5 linked regions of the Ovis aries genome follow. The protein of the gene in region 5 purifies or fractionates together with the protein of the main gene of each other region. This does not show direct contact. Links are inferred from orthologs where the notes say so. Each region holds a gene or a part of one and is shown on either strand. Other genes may lie near its edges.

Evidence for each region.
Region 1: the proteins of AP1S2 (region 5) and AP1B1 purify together in Homo sapiens (affinity purification with mass spectrometry; 5 studies listed by BioGRID and IntAct, counting the BioPlex papers as one, with this or other methods). This does not show direct contact. The link is inferred for Ovis aries from reciprocal best matches to the Homo sapiens genes AP1S2 and AP1B1.
Region 2: the proteins of AP1S2 (region 5) and AP2B1 purify together in Homo sapiens (affinity purification with mass spectrometry; 3 studies listed by BioGRID and IntAct, counting the BioPlex papers as one, with this or other methods). This does not show direct contact. The link is inferred for Ovis aries from reciprocal best matches to the Homo sapiens genes AP1S2 and AP2B1.
Region 3: the proteins of AP1S2 (region 5) and AP1M1 fractionate together in Homo sapiens (co-fractionation; 6 studies listed by BioGRID and IntAct, counting the BioPlex papers as one, with this or other methods). This does not show direct contact. The link is inferred for Ovis aries from reciprocal best matches to the Homo sapiens genes AP1S2 and AP1M1.
Region 4: the proteins of AP1S2 (region 5) and AP1G2 purify together in Homo sapiens (affinity purification with mass spectrometry; 3 studies listed by BioGRID and IntAct, counting the BioPlex papers as one, with this or other methods). This does not show direct contact. The link is inferred for Ovis aries from reciprocal best matches to the Homo sapiens genes AP1S2 and AP1G2.

The regions. Positions count from the first base shown.
Region 1 is NC_056070.1:68,659,720-68,664,198, reverse strand, and holds the start of AP1B1 (AP-1 complex subunit beta-1), read left to right. Parts: upstream 1-1,508; 5' UTR 1,509-1,655; exon of another isoform or gene 1,656-1,718; intron 1,719-3,673; 5' UTR 3,674-3,723; intron 3,724-4,479. UniProt on the Homo sapiens protein: Subunit of clathrin-associated adaptor protein complex 1 that plays a role in protein sorting in the late-Golgi/trans-Golgi network (TGN) and/or endosomes.
Region 2 is NC_056064.1:14,441,707-14,445,444, reverse strand, and holds part of AP2B1 (AP-2 complex subunit beta), read left to right. Parts: intron 1-448; coding exon 449-564; intron 565-1,703; coding exon 1,704-1,869; intron 1,870-3,115; coding exon 3,116-3,214; intron 3,215-3,738. UniProt on the Homo sapiens protein: Component of the adaptor protein complex 2 (AP-2). Adaptor protein complexes function in protein transport via transport vesicles in different membrane traffic pathways.
Region 3 is NC_056058.1:6,596,566-6,600,303, forward strand, and holds part of AP1M1 (AP-1 complex subunit mu-1), read right to left. Parts: intron 875-3,738; coding exon 718-874; intron 1-717. UniProt on the Homo sapiens protein: Subunit of clathrin-associated adaptor protein complex 1 that plays a role in protein sorting in the trans-Golgi network (TGN) and endosomes.
Region 4 is NC_056060.1:21,191,341-21,195,711, reverse strand, and holds the start of AP1G2 (AP-1 complex subunit gamma-like 2), read right to left. Parts: upstream 2,887-4,371; 5' UTR 2,809-2,886; intron 2,466-2,808; 5' UTR 2,434-2,465; coding exon 2,230-2,433; intron 1,820-2,229; coding exon 1,695-1,819; exon of another isoform or gene 1,554-1,694; coding exon 1,412-1,553; intron 1,292-1,411; coding exon 1,195-1,291; intron 1,028-1,194; coding exon 951-1,027; intron 834-950; coding exon 738-833; intron 342-737; coding exon 261-341; intron 1-260.
Region 5 is NC_056080.1:14,009,227-14,013,752, reverse strand, and holds the start of AP1S2 (AP-1 complex subunit sigma-2), read left to right. Parts: upstream 1-1,524; 5' UTR 1,525-1,646; intron 1,647-3,775; coding exon 3,776-3,954; intron 3,955-4,526. UniProt on the Homo sapiens protein: Subunit of clathrin-associated adaptor protein complex 1 that plays a role in protein sorting in the late-Golgi/trans-Golgi network (TGN) and/or endosomes.

The sequences.
Region 1 (4,479 bases), on a different chromosome or scaffold from region 5:
GGCGTGCTGCGATTCATGGGATCGCAAAGAGTCGGACACGACTGAGCAACTGAACTGAACTGATGATATGTATTATATTATATATAACATATAATACAATTTTAAATATATAAATTAATATTATATACGCATATATAGATATATACATACATATATATGCATATAAAATACATGTTATATTAATATATTATAATATATTATATATAATGTTATATACTTTATATATTATATTATAATATATGATTATTATATATAAAATACATACAGACATATATATGCATCAGTTCAGTGTTTATATATAACACATATTATATATTTATATATTATATATTATATTTCTAATATATTATTTATATATTATATATAATATAGTATAATTTATAATACATAATATATATTGTACATAATGTAGAATAAATAAATGTATTATGTATTATAATTATATATAATATATAAGTAAATATATTTATATATACATAAATATATAAAATGTATAATATAATATTATACATTTTATAATATTAAAAGACTAGTGATAAAGTGCACAACTGTAGGGGACTGTTTCGGAGAACAGTGGTGCCGTTCATACTGCGCAATTCCATGCAGATATTGTAAAACACCAAGTAGAAATGTATTTATTGTTTTGGGAAACAATAATTCACCAATTCACCAATATCTTGGTGAATTAAAAATACTGAATGGATATATCGAGTCTGGAAGGATATTCACCAAAATCTTAAAAATTATTGTCTCAGGGTGGCAGGATTGCAGGATTTTTTACATAGCCTTTTGCTTACTCGTATATTTCCATAATGCAAATATTATTTTAGATGTTTTTAAGAAGATGATCAGAAATTATCTAGGAGGAGGAGAAAGTTAATAATACCAGAGCTGGGAGTGAGATACCTATAGCAACCCTGGCCTGGCCGACCCAGCAAAACGGGAAATGGAACTTTTAAGTTCTCCTTGGAGGTGTGAGGTTTACGCGGAATTCCCCGAAGGGCTGCTTCAAGCGGTAGGTTAGACTTACAGCTCTAGTTTAACTCTTCTCTTCACAGGTAAGTGATCTTGAGCAACACTGGCGCCTCTCAGAGACTGAGTTTTCCTGTTTGTAACACAGAAGCGAAGCTGACCTCAAAACAAAGAAAAATAGACCTCAAAGTCTCTATGATCTTCTCCATCTCCGTCATGTTATATAGGCTCAGTTCAGCTCAGTTCAGTCGCTCAGTCGTGTTCGACTCTTTGCGACCCCATGGACTGCAGCACGCCAGGCCTCCCTGTCCATCACCAACTCCCGGAGTTTACTCAAACTCATGTCCATTGAGTCGGTGATGCTATCCAACCATCTTGTGGTATTTTTTGCTTGGCGGAGCAGCAACGTGTCGAGGGCGGAGTTAACTCCGACGCCCCGCCCCCTGGCCCCGCCTCGCTGCCACCGCCCCCGCCCGGGTTGTACCCTTGACCCCGCCCCCAGCCTGTGCGTCCACCGGAAGTGCCCGCGCGCGGGCAGCTCACTTCCGCCTGGCAGGTGACAGCCGCGGGGCTCCGAGCGTCCGGCGGCGCGGGCGCACCGGGAGAGCGGGAGGACAAGGCCGCGGACATTTTCCTGTCGCGTCGAGCCGCGCCGTGGCGTCAGGAGCCTTTCGGACCTGCGGGTGAGGAAGCGGGGAGCCTGGCGAGGCCAGAGAAGAAGTGGGGCGGGGAGTCGGGAGTCTGAGGTGAGGGATTTCTGGGGTCAAAGGTCACGGAGAGTACAGGGCGCTGGAGGGTCTAGAGTGGCTTCCCAGGACGGGAGGAGGCAGAAGGGCTGCGGGTTCATTCATTCGCGCCCCCTTGGCCGCCGGCGTGCACCCCAGCCGTCCCAGGTCCGCAGTCCCTGCCGGGGCGCCCTCCCGTAGAGACTCCTAGACTTAGGCCCAGGGGAGCTTGTGCCTGGCCTGACAGGAAACTTCTCTTCGGGTCTTGGTTCCCCCTGCACACTCAGCGCCGTGGCTGTCCTGAGGCCTCCTTGTCGTTAAGGGCCTTATCTCTTTGCCAAGGTTCAAAAACAGAAAAAAAAATATGAAACGGCCTGGCGCCACCGCCTCTAGGGTGGGGTTAAACAGAGGATTGGTCTGTCCCTAGGCGCCTCACAGACGAGGTAACTGGGGACCCCTGTAATAACGCCAGAACTACTGATGGGAATGCTAGCTGCTGGTTATTGAGCTGTGTGCAGGCACCGTGCTTAGAATGCCGCATTTAAACTTCCCAGCAATCTTGGTGAGGTAGCTACTATTATTATCCCCATTTTATCCACGAAGAAACTGAGGCACAGAAAAGTTAAATCACACCTGTAAGGTCAATCGAGTAGTATGGATGAATGCCAGGGTTCCTACCTGGGCTCGCAGGGACCTGCAGCGTGCTGAGACTGAAGCAAGGTTGGCATTTAGGGGCTGTTTAATATCTTTAGCCGCCATTAAATTTATTTGCATCTATATAAAGATATATTTCCCTGGAGAAGGAAATGGCAACCCACTCCAGTATTCTTGCCTGGAGAATCCCATGGACAGCGGAGCCTGGTGGGCTGCAGTCCATGGGGTCGCAGAGTTGGACATGACTGAGCGACTGAACAATAGCATTTAGAGATGTAGCTTGCTTTCTTCTCATCTACCTTCCTAAGGAGCATTTGATTCCCTTTCTTTAGGATGAAATTAGGCCATTGCTATAACTGATTTCTGTTCAGGGTGAGAAGGGGCCTTTTTCCCAACTGTTGAGAACTGCGAGACATAAAACAGTCTAGCCATGCAATGAATTTAAGAATATGCTGCACCTCTCTTGAGAGTGGTCAAGCTGCATTCTTTTTCAAGTAAGGGGAGGAACCACATGACCCCTAGGGTATCTTTTGGCCCTAGGTTCTTGAAGAGCATTCCCAAGGCAAGGACCTGAGTCTCTGAGAAAAGTGCAGGTCCCATGCCTTCTTGACTGGAGAACACACATCTTGCCTGGGAGACAGTGAGGTGGTTTCATGGCCAGAGGATTAGGTCTTGTGAGTCTGAGCTTTACTCGGTTGCAGACATTCACGTGCTGCAGTTCGGCTTCAGTTTCCCTGATAGCAGCACAGACCTGCTGACTTCCTACACACTCCGGGGTTTTACAAGCCTTAGTGAACCTGTGAGGATTTCCACGCACTTATAAAGAAAGCTGAGGTATAAATATTACTGTGCAGTACCTGTTTTTAAACTCCACTGTCTGTTTTCCTAGTTCCATTGAATTCACAGAAACTTAATATTGTCACCTGATCCCCATCCTTCCAAGGGAGGATTTGAGATAAAGTGACTCGTCACAGATGGTAGGAACAGGAGCAGCGCTCAGAGTGTCTGGCTCCCTGTCCTGAGTTGAGCCCACCAGGCTCCTTCAACCCCTCAGGGCAGCTTCATGAAGAGTGGCTTCACTAGTGTTCAAAGACTCAGGTCCCTCAGACTTTGTATAAAGTTTAACTGTTGAGTGTAGTTTGAGTAGAGGCTTCACCTGAGTGACTTGGAGAGCTCAGTGGTGTGGTGGAAAGAGCCTTCCTTGTCCCCCCATCTGTCAGCCGTGGATTCTCCCCCCAGATCAGCAGCTTCTTGGTAGCGTGACCCAGAGCCACCTATCCCTCAGCTCTACAATAATACCACCACCTTCACCTCCCCCTCAGCAGTGACTCGTGTGGAAGCTGGACAAGGACTTTGTGCAGAGTCTGTTGTGGTGAGTGCCTTGACCCTAGGCAGTTGATGTTTCCTGGGGGCTGGTTTTGGGGGTGTTACTTCTCTCTGCAGAGTCCTTTGTGTACACAGGACCTCTCCCATCCTTCTTGTTTCACTTCCTTAAAGTGTTTCAGAACAAGTTCAATCTGTTGATCCTGCTAGCTCTGGGCTTGGACTTTCATCTTTCTCTAGTTATCCTTGAAGCTGTTGCATGACTTGCTTGCTTACTTCCCGAAAACCCCCATTCTTGGCACCAAAGTGTGATGTGCTAATGGTGAGCCAGCATGGCTTGGTTATGAGTTTTGAGCTCCAATGTGTTTCCAGAAATCAAAGGGGCTTCTGTTACTTGCAGGTATTTCTTTTTCTGAATAGGTCTTTTTGCCTAAGATAGATCACTGATAAATTTTCACAGCCCAGGAATGATTTTTGTGTTCTTTTTCTCTCCACACAGAGAGGAATGAACAGCTCCAGAGAGAAAATATTAATTAGACAAGTGGGGAATCTTTTAAAAATAATTCTACTTGAAGGGACTTCCCTGGTTGCCTAGTGGTCACGAATTTGCCTTGCAATGCAGGGGACTTGGGTTCGATCCCTGGTCAGGGAACTAAGATCCCACATGCCGCAGAGCAACCAGGCCCACACTCCACAACTAGAGAGTCCGTGGGTCGCAACAAAGGATCCCATGTGCTGCAGCTGAGACCCAGTACGACTAAATAAATACATATTTTTTAAACAGTTCTACTTGAGTGTCCATCCG
Region 2 (3,738 bases), on a different chromosome or scaffold from region 5:
GTGGACTCTCTTCCTGGGAAATGTGCTTGTCTGCACAAATGAAATTTGGCAGTTTCATTTCAAGAGGTTTAAAGATGCCCTCTGTCTTGCTCATTCATGAACTGCAGATAAAGACCTCCTACTCCGGTGTATTCTGTCATTCTTACTCTTTGCTCATACCTTGACTTACGCTATCTTCTCTTTTCTGTCATCCTGGCTATCCAAGATGATTTTGTTCACTTGAACTGACTCTTTTGTAATGAGTAAAATTTGGGGTGTATCTTGAACTTCTGTACATCTCCATCAGATAACCCTGTGTCTAATACAGTATGATCAAATTAAGTGCCTCATCTTTTAATCTAGTTTAGTTGATGTACCTGGATGTTCTCTCCCCCCACCCCCATTTTTTTTTTGTTGAGGTTGTGTTATTGGGTAGATATCTGACTTCTCATTATGTTCTTCATTGTAGCAATCTGCAGAGCGCTGTGTGAGCACGTTGCTTGATCTCATCCAAACCAAAGTAAATTATGTGGTCCAAGAGGCGATTGTTGTCATCAGGGACATCTTCCGCAAATACCCCAACAAGTATGTCCAAATACTTCTGCCCCTCTTCCTCAGTTCGTTTAGGAAATGTTTAAATAAAGCACTTTGAGACTGGCTAGGTAAGAATTATTTGGTCATAATTAAATGCTTTATTAAAAATCAGAAACGTGTAAGTTTGTGAGCACGAGGATTAAAATCTCATTTTTACTGTTTTATCACTTTTAGAAGAATTGAAGCTCTGTCTGAATATGCATTGTCGATTGACATATTTTTAAAGTTAATCAGGTTCTTTGGTGATGAAGTTACTATTAAATAGGATACTCATGTCTGGGCATAATCCATTTTATGCTTCTTACCAAGCGTAATTAATAAATGTGCCCCCTTTCCACTCTCAGAAATGTCTCAGTTTGAGTAATATGGCCACCCTATTGTAAAATCCAGGAAGGTGACAGCTTCACTATTCACTTTGTATGTTACCTAGTACTTTTAGAAAATTGTAGAACATGTAACGATAAATTATCAGCGTTTTAGACCTTTTCTCAAGTATGGTAGCTGCTTCCATTAAGATATGCAAAATCTACATTTTCACTTCACAGAAAATTTTCATGTTGAGGTCTTAGTTTGTGAAACATACACTTTTTCAGATTTGCTTTTGAAGGCAAGCAATTAAAGAATCTGAAAGAGTGAAATAAGCAGATTCAAGGGGGAGGAGATATATGTATAATTTAAGACTGATTCGTGTTGTGTGGCAGAAATCACAACACTGTAATGCAGTTACCCTCCAATTGAAAAAAAAAGAGCAGATCATCTAAGCACCCTAAATGTCATTTTACCTTATAATCATAGAGATAGGTTGTGCTGAGGCTTCTGACTAATCTTTAAAGATCATATGAAATGAAGTGACTTACAATTAAGTTAGTTTAATGGTGGACTCAAAATTAGAAGAAATATTTTAACAAGGTAGTGGTTTATTAAGTGTTTTATATATTTTTTTTAATTCTAGAAATTGTATTTTTGGGAAAAGGATATGCTTTTACCACTCTGTCAGGAAAGAGGGGTTGGGTTTCTAAATTTCTTGATTAAGTGTGGATACCTTGTCCATGGTTTTGCTTTTAGTCTTCATTGTTAAATACAGTTCTCAGTTTTGCCCTCAGTAACCATAGTCCATTTTGTTACATCAGATACGAAAGTATCATTGCCACACTGTGTGAGAACTTAGATTCACTGGATGAGCCAGACGCTCGAGCAGCTATGATTTGGATTGTGGGAGAATATGCTGAAAGAATTGACAATGCTGATGAGTTACTAGAGAGCTTCCTGGAGGGTTTTCATGATGAAAGCACCCAAGTAAGTTCTCTTCTATACCTAATGAAATAGATGTTTGGGGGAGGATTTCAGGAAAGGTAAAGGTTAGGCAGTTTTGTGTGTCTGAACTTATATATATATATGTGTATATATATATAGTCTGTAGTGTATATATAGTGTGTATATGTGTGGTGTGTATATATGTGTGCATATGTTCATTTTTTTCCTGAAAGCAAAAGGGGTGAGCTTTTTCAGTTGTGCTGACGTCTGTTGGAACAAGCCTGTTTAGCTTACGCTAGTGGTTCTCAAACTTTAATGAGCTGTAGAAACACCTAAGCACTGGTATTTAATCTCTGTTGAAGCTACAGGTTGCTGGAACCCACATTAGAGTTTCTGACTCAGTAGGCCTGAGATGGTTCATTTTTACAAGGTTCAGAGTGGTGATGCTGCTGCTGCTGCTGCTGCTGCTCCAGAACCATGCTTTGACAACTACTGGCTTAGAGCGATAGTTAATTATAATTTTCTGTCACCTAAAGATGATTGCCCATTACTGTCAATAATGGTTGTGGCTCGGTTACAGCTGGAGTTTTTGTCGGGGTGAAGGCTGGCATGTGCATTTTGAAAAGAATCTTCCTTCCCACCTTCTATCTGTCCTCTACCAAAATTGAGAGACCTTGAGAGACTTTTGAGTCAAAGGCCCAGAGAAGCAGATAAATTATTAAACCTTTTCCCCCTGGTGTTCATACTCACTGCAAATTGAAGTTCATAAATGTATTCTATCATAGTAATTTTAATAGGCCCTGACAAGGAATACATACAAGCCAGTAATTTCATGGTTCAGCAAGCCACTCTTAATTGACTGTGATCTAGTATAATTCTGTGGTCTTGGCTCTTGCCTCAGTATGATAAACGATTCTCCAGTTCCCCAAAAGTTGTAGCTTTCGGTGGAAGTAAATAATAGAGAATTTGGTCAGGAACCAGTTTTATTGCCATCAGCATGTTAGCATATACTTTAAGAAATATAGATGATTAATCTGAGGCATAAACAAACAGGCAGTTTTTGATGCCAAAAATGCAACTTGGAGGTAGGAGTCTAGTGAGTTTTCAGTTGATGAAAACCTTTGACTGCTATTGTTGATACTGGCGGAGTTTTCAACCTTTGTCTATTAATCAAAACCAGAAAGGCCTTGTAGTAAGTCAGTCAGTCATGTTTGGGGAAACACCACTTTGGAATTGGTGGTGTGGAATAATATGGATGCCTTTCACTTCATCTATTAAATTTATTTAGGTGCAGCTCACTCTGCTCACTGCCATAGTGAAGCTGTTCCTCAAGAAACCATCAGAAACACAGGAGCTGGTGCAGCAGGTCTTGAGTTTGGCAACACAGGTAAGAAATCTGGAAAAAGCATGGAGTTGATTTGTCTTGTTTTAAATTCTTGGAAAGTGTAAAACTTCTCCCAAGAAGGTTCATTTGGGGAGGTTTTGAATGTAAAGAGTACAGTCTTTAGATTCTGTTAAAAAAAATTCGAAGCAGTACTTCTTTTACATATTCTGCTGAATTAGAGGAAAAGACAGTGGCACCCCACTCCAGTACTCTTGCCTGAAAAATCCCATGGACTGAGGAGCCTGGTGGGCTGCAGTCCATGGGGTCGCTAAAGAGTTGGACATGACTGAGCAACTTCACTTTCACTTCTCACTTTCATGCGTTGGAGAAGGAAATGGCAACCCGCTCCAGTGTTCTTGCCTGGAGAATCCCAGGGACGGGGGAGGCTTGTGGGCTGCCATCTATGGGGTCGCATAGAGTCGGGTACGACTGAAGCAATTTAGCAGCAGCAGCAGCTGAATTAGAACTGGTTGTATGGCTTTTAAATGAGTTGACTGACTTTTGTTTTAATGGTAATTCATGAAAAT
Region 3 (3,738 bases), on a different chromosome or scaffold from region 5:
TGACCAAAGCCACGGGATGGCTGGTCAGACCTCCTGGATGGGAACTGGCTCAGCCAGGCCTCCCCATGGGCCTGAGAGCAAGGGGCTCTGAGATCTGGGCAGGGTGGGGAAGAATCTCTCCCCTTCTCTGTATCCCACCACCCCTCACAGTCCAGGCTTCTGCCCACCCCCACCTCCTATGTCTACTTCTGATCCCTGAAATCCGGTCTCCACTCAGCAGCCAGAGAAAATGCAGAAAATGCAAATCAGACCGTGTCAGCCCTCTGCCTGAAACCCTCCCAAGACTTTCCAACACACTTCATTCAGGTGGTTGCCTACAGGGCCCTGCAGCGCACACCCTGCTGACCACTGGGCCTCGCTCCTGCCATGCACCCCACTCTAGGGCTCCAGTCACCCCCACTGCAGCTGCCGAGTGAGACTTCACCCAGGCCTAGCATGCCTCATGCCAGCAGACACCTAAGGCAGACACCTGGCCTTCCTGCAGGTCTCCACTGGGATGTTCCCTCCCCAAGCAACCCGTCCTGGCTCCTTGGACCTCTATCCCACTTGTCATCCTTAGGCAGCAGGGAGCTCCAGAAGACAGGGCTGTGCCTGATGGCCCCCTGCTAGCCTGATCCAGCCAGCCCTGGGGACAGCAGCTCTCAATTGCACGTGTGTGTGTGTGTGTGTGTGCACAAGCCCACACAGGAGCCATCCCCACCCCCGACAAAGGGATACGATACAGGTTGTTGTGCTTGATCCACATGAAGCGGACGCCCCCGTGGGCCAGGATGGGCGACAGCATGCCCTCCTCCTCCTTCTCCATCAGGATGGGCATGAAGTGCTCCACCTCTGACATGTCCACATCGCCGCGGTAATTCCGGCAGATGAGCACCTGGGCGGGTGGGAGAGAGGGAAGGCACTTTTACCTTGAGTTCCACCACCCTCCGGCCCTCCTGGGAACCCCAGTCACGCCTGTCCATCAAAGGGCCATTCGATCTCCACGCCCCAGGGAATTCCTCAAGGAAAGCTCTTCCCCACGTGAACATCTACTGGGGCTACTGAGAGTCCTGTATGGGGGCCCTGGGAGGCGGCTGTGGGGCAAGAGTCCAGGACTGAATCACGGGGAGACGCCAGGTTGTGTCCGGCAGGCTCTAAGTGCAGACCTCCTCCACGCTGTGCTCATGCACCTGCCCTTCTGGCTCTGTCAGGAGAGGGGCACTGCTGAGTGTGCACACCTACTAGATCCCACCTGTGACCTGAAAAGAAACCCTTCTCGCCTCTCTTATGGGTCCCGGCGTGTGGCATCACTGCTGATGGGAATGTGAAATGGGACAACCACTTTGGTAAAGTTTGACCGGTTCTCAGAAAGCTAAAATCAGCTTATAACCCAGCCATTCCTCTCTCAGGTATTTATTTATCCAAGAGAAAGGAAACCACACGTCCACATGAAGACACATGTGCGGATGCTCACAGCGCATTATTTGAAGTAGACTCAGGTTGGCGAGAATGCCAATATCCTTCAAAAGGTGAGTGGAGACAAGAATTGTGTCCAACCACACTACAGAAAACTGCTCAGCTACGAAAAGGAATGACTCCTGACACCGGCGACAGCAGGAGGGAATTTCAGGATCACTGAGCCAAGGGAAAGAAACCAGACGATGGAGACCGGAACTATGTGATCCCACCTAAACAAACACATCCCGGGAAACGGTAACAGAAAATACATCAGTGACTGCCTGGGGACAGGCTGGACAGGCATGGGTGTGGGGAACCTTTAGGAAGAGACAGAGTGTGTGCCCCTGGTTTCCTGGATGTATACAGTGACTGAACTCATCAAACGATATGCTTTATATGAGCACAGTCAGTTACACGTAACTCACTGAAGGAAAGAAAAGGAGGCGTGAAGCTACACCACGGTGAGCAAGGCTCTATGTGGAGATGCTGCCCAGGGCAGCTGCTGCTCCCGTGCATCCCTGAGGCCAGCCAGCTGCAGGACGCAGCTATGTGCAAAGAATGGCACCACTGCGCCGACCAGCCTGGGAGCCGCCTGCCTCAGGACCTCTGGTGGCGCATGCTTGCTAAGTCCTGCCCGACTCTTTTGTGACCCCCACGGACTGTAGCCCGCCAGGTTCCTCTGTCCATGGGAAAATACTGGAGTGGGTTGCCGTTTCCTTCCCACAGTATCTTCGTTTCATAAAATACGTTGTCTTACTGCTGCAAGCCAGAGAGAGTGGTCGAGTGACCGAGAAAGAACCCTCCTTTCCTAGTTTCTCCTTTGTGGCCTACGGGCAAGGGACCCTGTGCACTCATTGCTGTTCAGAAGGCCTCTTAGAGACCCAGCACCCAGTGGGTGAGCTTGTGGGTGCCTGGCCCAGGGACTACGACATACCCTCTCATATGTTCTTTGCCAGGAATATATGCTGCCTCGTATAAATCCCACCCACTACAAAGTGGACTGATATTTTTAAAGCAATGAACAGTGATGTCTGGAGAGGTGGCACCACCCGCCTGAGGTCATACAGTGAACAAAGGAGAGCCAGGTTCTAACCCCACTTCTCACTCCCTGCAGGGACACTTCCACTCGATAAACATGGCTCTCCTGGGCTTCCTAAGCCCACCTTCTACTCCAGGTTATCCAACTTTGGAGGATGCAATTGGCACGGAGCCCCTGAGGCCCCAGTATATTCTGAGGAAAGAGCAGGGAGTTATGTATTTTGCTCGCCTTCATCACACAGGCTGCAGAGGCCCACTCACTCATGCTCTCCGCCACACACTATGCGGGGCCTGGGGACACCAGGGTGACCAAGACAAACAGGGTCCCTGCACTGAGCTATTTGCTTGAAGGGAGATGAGAGACTCTGCAAGGGTGAGACCGTCAAACTGAGCCCTCAGGATACAGGTGGGATAGAGGCAGAGGGGACAGTGGAGCTAAAGCCATGGGATGGGAGGCAGAGCCCACGGTGGGTACCTAGGAGCACTGGTTAAGTACAGTGAGGGCAGCCTCGGATCCTGGCCCATAGCAGCTACTCAGTAAATGTCTCTGCAGTGAGCGTGGCAGTGAGGCAAATAAGGGCAGGATAATGCCCAGGTCTCTAAATGGGCACCTGTGTGGATGGCGGTGTCACTCCCCGAGAGGGCAAGAGACAGCAGGGCTGGGGGCTGGTGCGGAGCTCATCTGGGGAAATGCCGAGTTTGTGACGGCTGTGAGACCTCCAGGGTGTCCTGACGGCCTGCAGATCTCCAAATGAGTGCTCTGGACTCTGGTACAAATTCAGGGGTCATTGGCACAGTGACAGAAATCAAAGCCTGCGCCTTGGGACTTTCCTGGCATTCCAGTGCTTAAGACACTGAGCTTCCACTGCAGGGGACACAGGTTCAGTCCCTGCTCGTGAAACTAAGATCCTGCAGGTGGCGAGGCACGGCCGAAAAATAGGAATGAATGAATGAATGAGTCAAAGCCTACCCCAAGCAGAGCAACAGTACGTGAGGCATGCCAGGCCCAAGCAAGAGGAGCCCACATCCGAGGGGAGGGCAGGAGAGAAGGGGCAGCAGTGAGAGAAACGGGGAACAGGGACACAGCAACCCCGAGGCCAGCGGAAGCTGCCGAGGAGCAGAGTAGTGGTGCCAGAAGCCGCAGAGGCGAGAGAGAAGGGCAGCGAAGCGTCCTAGAGGGCTTTCCATCAGCTCAGTGTGGCCTCGCCAGTTTCCCTGGAGATCAGAGGTGCTGGCTGGCAGGCAGACGTGTGGTTGTGAATT
Region 4 (4,371 bases), on a different chromosome or scaffold from region 5:
AAGGGGCTCCACCCTTTCCTCATGTCATCCCTCAAATAGCTTACAAAAGTCTATCCATCCCCTCCACCCCCGCCCCCCCAACTATGTGCCAGGGACTACTGCACTGTAACAGACTGTGTCCCTGACCTCAGGAGAGATCACAGTCCAGAAAGAAATGGAGACGTGATCATTTGGCCACTGCAGGGGGAGTGGTCATGGGAGGGACGCCCAGGCCAGTGGGATCACAGAGCAACACCCATAACCCAGGCCCCCACCCCCACCTGGGCCAGCAAGTCATTCATGGTCTCACTGCTCTCCTCGTGGTTCCGGCCCAGAATCCGAAGCAGACGAAGTATCTGGACCTGAAATTGGGTTAAATAAAAGTTGGGGGAAAGGGGTTGAGGAGAGAAATCCAACGTTGAGAGCACTGTGAGGGGTCTGGCTGGCTCCCAATAGCCTCCTTGCAGTCCCCCCTCCCAGCCTCCTCTGTCCCCTTGGGCCCTGGGAGGGTTCAGAGGTGAGTGAGGCCAGGAGATCTGGGGACAGTCTTTTGAAAAAAAAAAAAAAAAATGTTACCAAGTTGGATTTTCTACTTTTCAGGCACTCCCCATCCCCACACTGGACCTGGGATGACCTGGTGCCTGCCACCCTCCTGCCCAAGTTACTGATGAACCAAAGTATTGTCTGGGAGGGGACCCCTGGCCATGGGATGCCTAAGCTTTTTGTTCCAGGGATACAGCAGGGAAGGATCAGCCCACCTGCAGGAATGGGTCGCTGACTCCAGACACGCTGTGTTCTGTGGAGCATCCTGTCATCACCAGAGTCCGGAGGGTGTGCACCAGCTGGGGTACCACCTGGAGGGAGGGCAGAGCCTGACCTGGGCATTCTTCCTAATCCTCTCTCCCTTCAGCTCCCTCCAACCCCACTGCCCTTCTCCTCCTGGCCCGGGGCCCACCCCTTCACCAGCCCACCTTTCGAAAGTGCTGGAGGGCTGCAGGGCTTCGTTCGCAGAGCTCGGTGATCAGCGTGACAGTGCCCAGCAGGATGCCTGGGTCAGGGTGAGGGAGCCAATGGTGGACAGGGCACAGGGGAGTCTACTGTGTGCGTGTTTGCATGCACGTGCTGCCCTTCACCTGGGAGCTACTGTTCCTGTCCTTGGGCTCCCTTTCCCACAGCCAGAGCTGAGGCAGTGGACGAGGAGCCCCGTGGCCTTACCATGGTGGCGTTCATGAAGCAGCTGGGCACAGGGTGGGAGGAAGATGTCAGAGAGTTCAGGGACCTTCCGGATCATGTGTACTGCAGTCAGAACAGCCTGCAGAGGTCACAGGGCTCAGAGAGGGCGAGGGTCTGCCAGGATGGAATCCCCCACCTCTATCATGTGGCAGACAGGACAGTTTGTGCAGGAGCAAGAGCCTAGAACCTGCTGTCTCACCTTCTTGCGCACATAGGGGCTGGGCTGCAGGAGCAGCTTCTCCACCTCTGGGGCCAAGTCCCGGCACATCTCAGCAGAGCCCATGGCACTCAGTGTGCACAAGGCTAGGCCTTGGACAGCCTCAATTCCCTGGCTCAGGTCACTGCAGAGTTTGGGGAGGACAGTCAGTCAAGCCTCTGAGAAGTCCAGTCCTTCAGTACCTACAGCAGGCAACCCCCTGGGATTTCCCAGTTCCCCACTCTCCCATCTCCCTGATTCCAAGTGCTTCCCAGAACCCTCTCACTTCTTGATGCTGTTGGTAATGAGCAGGTGGGCATCCTGCCTCTCATCCAGTAGAAGCATGGCCCCCAGGTAGCCCACCCTCTTGTCTGTGAACCTGGGGGAGGCGATCAGTTTCAGGCACTCCATCTACAGGGAAGGGGGCAGACCAGGAAGGGGTAGGGGTGAAACCGGAGGCACTAGCGTGGCTTTTGGTTCTCCTTTACACCAGATTAACCTGTGGGGGCAGCATACCCCAGGACCGCCCCGTTCAACATGAACAGAGGTTTAGGAGATTCAGTTAGTTTCAAGGAAACGGAAGAATGGGAGGAGAAAGGAAGGGCCTTGAATGGCGCTGGCCAGAGAATGAGGGGTTCGGTCCATCTGATGACCAGTTGGGGTGGTAAAGGGCAAGGAGATCTGCGGTACACCCTGTGAGGGCCCAGAAACTCCGCAGAATAAAGAAATCGAGAAACAAGTAAGTGAGGGGGTGGTGTTCGCTACCGTGCCCCACTAGCTTCTCTCATCAAACTCGGACGGGAGGCGTCCACGCCCAGTACCTGTCCAAAGTGGGCGGGGTAGCCTAACATGTGGACGTAGAGCAGTTTGGCCAGCTGGCGGTGGCTGTGCAGAGGGTCCCCATCGCGGAAGGAGGCCCGGATGTGGGCGCACTCTTTCTGGATCACCTCCCGCTCCTGGGCCTGGGTCTTGGCCTCACGAATCTCCTGGATTAGATCCTGAAGCTTCAGCGAGGACGCCACCATCCTGGCGGGCAGAGCCCGGAAACGGAGAGGGCCTTAACCCTCTGGCAGTAAGCATCCGGCCTTTTCTGCACAGGCTTGCAATTAACCAAATTCCCGAGGGCCCGGGTCCCAAGACACGCTAAAACTGATCCCTGTCCCCAAATGCCGCCCGAGACCTCCATTACGCATGCGTCCTCGCCCCACCCCGCACCCGTCGCTACCGAGCCTGCGCTGGAACCCCGCCTATTTCCCCCCCAACGGCGGGTCTCCACCTGGCTTCCCATCCCTAGCTCAGTTATTCCCTTCCTTCTAGAGCCCGGCGCTGCTTCTTTCGCAGAGACCCCCGTCCCCTTCTCAGGCGGTGTCAGCTTCCCCACACCAGGACGCCAGCCTCACCTGGCTTCAGTCTCAACTCCGCTCCTCTCCCCCCAGCGCTTCCTGGTCCTAGCCCCGAGGAAGGTTGGGGCTTGGTCTGATCCTTCTCTCTCCCCGCCCCTATCGCGGGACCCCGCCCCTCCTGGGCCGCCCTGCAGACTGCAGAGCAATCTTGAATCCTCTGACCTTAGGCCTTTCTGATTTGGAGTATAAGGGAAGGATCTTTTTAACTACTTCGGGGCGGCGAGACTGTCTAACAGGCCTGGGACTTCGCAAGAGGGCTCGTTCACTGGAGAGCTTCTGAGAGTTTGGGTTTGAATCCATCGCACCCAAAGGAGAGGACAATTCCCCCCCCTTTTTTTGAACTTTTTTATTAATATATTTTTTTTTTGGTTAAATTTCTTTGTATTTTTTTTTTCCTGCAAGACTTGGTGTTGGCGGCACTGTTGTTTTAACGTCAATCCCAAATTCCATGAAATAGAAATCAGAAGTAAAGTTTGAGAGAGGAAGAGGGAGGGAGGCAGGCCAGGGAGTAAACAGAGTTTGACTAGAAAAAAAAGAAGAGTTTGTGTGTGGTGGGCATTCCCAGGCAAGGCCATTCCTTGAGGGAGGGGGTTGGCAGGCAGCTTGCCTCTGCCTCATGCAGGGGAGGGAGGAAAGATCCCCTGGGGACCCTCAAGCCCCCTCTTCCTAGGGCTTCCTGTCCCCAGGGGAAACGCTAGTACCAGGGATCAGCCACAACCTCCAACAGGGCTCTCTACCCACCTCTCACCCCGGTTTGACTCTCACCTCTCTGCTCTCCCTGGAAAGTGTGTGAGATTGATCCCCTCCTTTGTGTTGTTTTTCCAGTTCACAAGATTCTGATATGATGGGGGAAGGGATCTAACCCACTTAGAGACTACTGACCAGCTTCTCCTGCCCTGTGAGTTCCTGTTTTCTTGTGTGGTTCATTTTCCAGAACTGCCTCCCCCCGCCACTACTGCCAGAGTTGGGGAGTGGGGTCCTTGCTCAGGTGCCCCTAACCCTCTGCAGTAGAAATGTCTTCTTCAGGTCCCTTAGGAATTTAATCAAAGGCCACACGTGAGTCCAGACCAACCAAATAAACTTTTAGGGGGAGAGAGAAAGGTGGGAGAGGTCAGCAGGTGGGCTTGGCTGCATGGGACTTTATCTTTCCTTTACGCATTGCTCTTGACATGGCATGCCATCCTAGGGGGTTGGGTGAGGGGCTGGCTGTTGGGGAAAGAAAGAGGGAGAAGATGCTCAGGAGCTGTTCTACTTTTCATTTCTCTCATCTCCTTCAGCGAAGGATGGAGTTTGGTTAGAACCTAGCTCAGTACTTGGAGGTGAGATAGGCTCCTCCGAGGTCAGAGATGGAGGCTGCATCCCTTCCAGATCTGTCACCAGGCCTCAGAGGGGCACCAGGCTCCTTGGGTCGGGGAGTCCTAGCTGCACGGCCAGTGCCCTGCCCAGTCGACAGTCTTCTCCAGTATCGAGTGTACCCCTTCCCCACGTTCTTCCTTTCCACTCGGCTTCCAGGAGACTCCTCAGGACACCAAACCCCCACCCTCATCCAAGCTCAGGTCT
Region 5 (4,526 bases):
ACATTAGTAGCAAAATTTCCAAGCAGCATAGCAGTGTCTGAAAGGGGAGGTAATATACATTTTTATCTTGCCAAAGAAGGGCATTAAAAAATGCCCCCAAATCCCTATTATGTACTTAGTTTTACAGACATTTTAACACACGTGAAAAGAACACAATCCCTAATAAAGGATTCCTTTAGATTGATTAAACTTCGCTTCCTAGAAAACTTTCCCTTTGGGCCATTAAAAAATTCTGGCGACTATGTTTGGGTGCCTCTGCAAAAAGGCCATAGCTTAACAAAAGCAATATTCTAAATTTCCTTTGTAAGAACCGGTGACTGGGATAATGAATAGCGTTCGACATAAGAAACCCGTGGCTGCTCAAGCAAGGTCACTTAATCCCGTGGGGCTCCCCTTTACTCATCTGTAAAAGATGAGTCGGACTGGATGATTCAACCACTCTCTCAATCGAAAAAAATGGACATCCATTATGTGCCAGACACAATGCTCAGCACCATGGCTCTTAACAAACAAATCTACCGTTTTAGAGTCCTTATCAGTCAACTCACATTTATTAGAGGTGTTACATACCAGGCAGAGAACTAGGCTGGGATGTAAAATGAATAAAACTCAAGATGTGCTAATGGGTATATGGGTGAGTGAGGCTTCATAGGAGCTGTGACATTTGAGAGCAAGGGCATGCCAGGCAGAGAAAGTCGTCGGCAAGACTAAACTGGAACCCAAGCGGCTGTGGGGGAGGTGAGGGTGAAAGAAGCGGAATCTAGAAGAGGTGCCGGTCGGGCTTTTCAGCAGGGAACGGACAGTAACTCCTCAGGTTCGCAGCACTGAGGATGAGCGAGGCAAGCCCCGGCAAGAGACAGTTGCAGTTTGGGGCGAAAAGGTGTCTAGGACTGCAGCACTGCGATGGGAAGGGCCGGATTCCGGGTGGTTTTGAGGCAAAGTAATTGCAAAAAAGCCCTCTAAACGCGGGCACGAGCTCCACGAAAGAGCTTTGTTTTCTTCCGAGTTGCAGCACTCCCTCTCTCCCCTCACCAACAGTACCGGCCATTAAACGGCCCCGTCCCACCCTCTCGGGGCACCGAGAGTTGTCGGAGCTCGAATGCGGTTCTTGGAAGTACGGACCTTCCCTGCCCAGCTTAGTACGGTCAATAAACGGCACAGTGAAACACTGTCTTCTCTCCACAAAATAGACCCGACAGCCGCGCGCGTCAGAGAAGCGCACTCAGGAGAGCGCAGGCGCGCCAGCCCTGGCAACAGCCGCTTCCGGGTCACGTGGCCTGGCTTCCGGTCCGGACCTCCCTCTCGGTAGAGACGCGGCCAATCAGATTCCTCGGACTTCGCGGTCACCTGAGCTGCCTTCGGAGCCGTTGGCAACAGCCGAGCTGCAGCCAGCGCACCGCCCAGCCCGCCCCTCTGCTCGCCGCAGCCCCGGCTCCTCCCTCGTCCGGCCCCCGGGGCGGGGTCTGTCGGCTCGCCCTCCCCTCTCAGCCTAAGCCTTCCCTCCGCGAACCGGGTCCCCTCCCCACAGCAAAACGGCTTCTCTTCCTCAGCTCAGCGACAGGGGCTTCCCCTTAGTCGCCGCCGCCGACGCTGCCGCCGCCGCCGCCGCCGGCCGAGCCCCGCCGCAGTCGCGGCCCGCGGCCGCCGTAAGTCCCGGGAGGCGAGCGGGGACACCGGGGTCGGGGAGTGGGGAGGGAGGGTCGGGCGAGCCCCCCGCCGCCCAACGAGCGCCTGGACGACCCCACCCCGCGCCCGCCCGCCCGGCCCGCTACTGGGGCACCGCGCCCCGAAACTCACTTCTCTTTGCTTCCGCGCCCCTCTCCACTCGGCGCCGCGTCCCGGGCTGCGGGGGCCAGTTTCGGACGCTGCAGCGGGTCCGCGGCACCTGTGGTTTGGGAATCGCCTCAAGTTTTGCGGGGCATTTGCGGGCGGGGTCGGCGGCCGGGGGCGGCGGAGACGGAGGACTCTTGGCGCCCCCTGCGCGGCGGCGGTTGCCATTGTCTTCCCCGCTCCTTGCTTGTCACCTCGCCCGGGCTCGATCGGTCAGTGATGGAGTGCGGCCCCGTGGGGCGGCGGGCAGGCAACGGCCCCTGGCCCCGAGCCCGCTCCGCGGCCGAGCCCATTGTTTTTAATACCAATCTCCAGGAATTGAGGCGCCTTGTGATTTGAAGCAAAATCGGAGCGTTGGTTTTTAACTAGAGGGAAGGAATACTTGTGCCTTGCGACCAGGCATCATCCTATGTTAACATATAATTTATTTTAAAGAGCATAAATTATTTATTCGTCATATAAAGTGATGGTGGGGAGAGATGGAGGACCTTGCTATAGACTCCCTTGAGTCCTAGAGTTTCAAAAGCAAACCCCCAGTCCTCCTGGTCTCCAAGATCCTGGAATACGGGTCTGTTCTTTTCCAAGTTCTGCTAACGGGTTTGCGTGAAACATTGTCCAGTTGATGCGTTACTTGCTGTCCCTTTCTAATGTCGCTGTCTTAACAGGACTTCTGTATGAGGCACTTTGACATCACCAGTGTTGTTCGTTTATTTCGTGCCAGTGATGCGTTTTAAGTGTGATGTTAACAGCCAGTTTCAACTTTATTTAAGTTAAATTGTCGCATCGTAAATTTCTAAATACCTTATTGATGCCCGTTTGGATTATTACAAAAAGCGGCAATGATTTCTTGGTGAAATTTAGCGCCCATTTTATTCAGATGGATGGTGTAAATTCCCCCACCCCATGTTCAAATTCAGTATGGTGTGGTTAATACCAAGAGTCAGGCTGAATCCTACTTGCAGAAACTAGTACTGAAACTTAGAATAATTAAAAGAAAAGAAAATATCTAATTTCTACCTTTAAATTACCTTTGTAGAAACAATGCTTTCTGTTTGCAGTTGGGGAGACTGAATTACAAGAAGGTTTCCTTAAAAATTAAAACATGTAGACTAATCATCATTTGCAGATTCTAAATAAATGTATACAAAATAGTTTGTGTGAAATACACTAGAATTCAGCATCCACTCCATCTGTAGATGCTATGTTTTTAAATCGTTTTAAATGAAGTATTTCGTGTAATGTCTGAATGTGTGTAGCTCTTAGTTTGGCTTTTTAAAGGTTTATATTCTCTTCCGTAAAACTATATTAACTCACTTTATTGTGTGTATATTTATGTTGGAATTTTTAAAATGAGATGCGAATTTTTTTAATCAGGCTTTTATTAAGAAAAATGTGTTTATGGGATTTTTTTGGTTTATATTTTAGTTCTTTTGTTTTGCTTAAAATATGTAAACATAAACTGAAGACAGCATTTCAAGTTATAGCAGTCTGTCTACAAGTAATTCAGTTTGGCTCTAGAACAGCTTATTCTGTGTAGGGTGGAAAATAGTAGGTCTGTTTATTTCAAATGCATCTAAACCAGTTGATGTCAACAGTTCTCTTTTGATCCATATACATTCCTATAGCACACATACACAATAGTTTCTTAAATTGCAAGAATTATCTTTCTTTTTCATCAGAATTTTCACCTCACCTGTTTTTGTCCTCCCCCTCTCCTCCAAACTTAAATGGAACAGGGTGAGGTGGGAGGATTTGCATCTGGTGGAAAGATCTTTCTACAAGAATTTCCTGCTATTTTAACTAGCATAGAAATATTGATGGCTACTCATCATTTGTTGGCTAAACGCCCTGTCCCTCAAAGCTTCTCTTTGCCACGTGTCATCTTAATCTTAACTTTATTGAATCAAAGTATTGCCTGTAATCTTGGTTCTGTTTATCTTAACAGATGCAGTTTATGTTGCTTTTTAGTCGTCAGGGAAAGCTTCGACTGCAGAAATGGTATGTCCCATTATCAGACAAAGAGAAGAAAAAGATCACAAGAGAACTTGTTCAAACCGTTTTAGCACGGAAACCTAAAATGTGCAGCTTTCTTGAATGGCGAGATCTGAAGATTGTTTACAAAAGGTATAATTTTTATTTATTAGAAGGATGAAATAGAATCAGTTATTAGATCATTTATAATGTGGAAATTGCAGACTTTCAAGAGATTACATTTATAAATAAAGATTACTAAAGATATAAATGAAATAGTCTTAAGGTAAAGCTTTGTACTTTTAAGATAACTACTGTTTTGGTGAAATGATAAAATCATGGGACTCTTTTTAAACGAAATTATGTAACTAAAGGCATAAATGATACTTCATGCTTAATCATCTTTTTAGGAAAACTGAAAGAATTCATTTCTTTGCAGGGGAAAATAAAGTCAGTATTTTAAATTGTGTGAGTAATTTTCTGAATTTAGATAAGCATTTACCTCCCCCTCCTTTCTCCCCGCAAATCCGTAATGACTGGTATTCGATATGCCTTTTAATCTGACTTTCAGAATCTCTTATTCATGTATAAACTCCTTGGATATGTACACTGTTTTAGTCATAGATGTTTAAAAATCGGATATATACACGACTTGTTCGTTACTGCTTATTAGTTTGAAGTACACTTGTTGCTGTGGTGGTGGTGTGATTAGATCTGGTAGATAG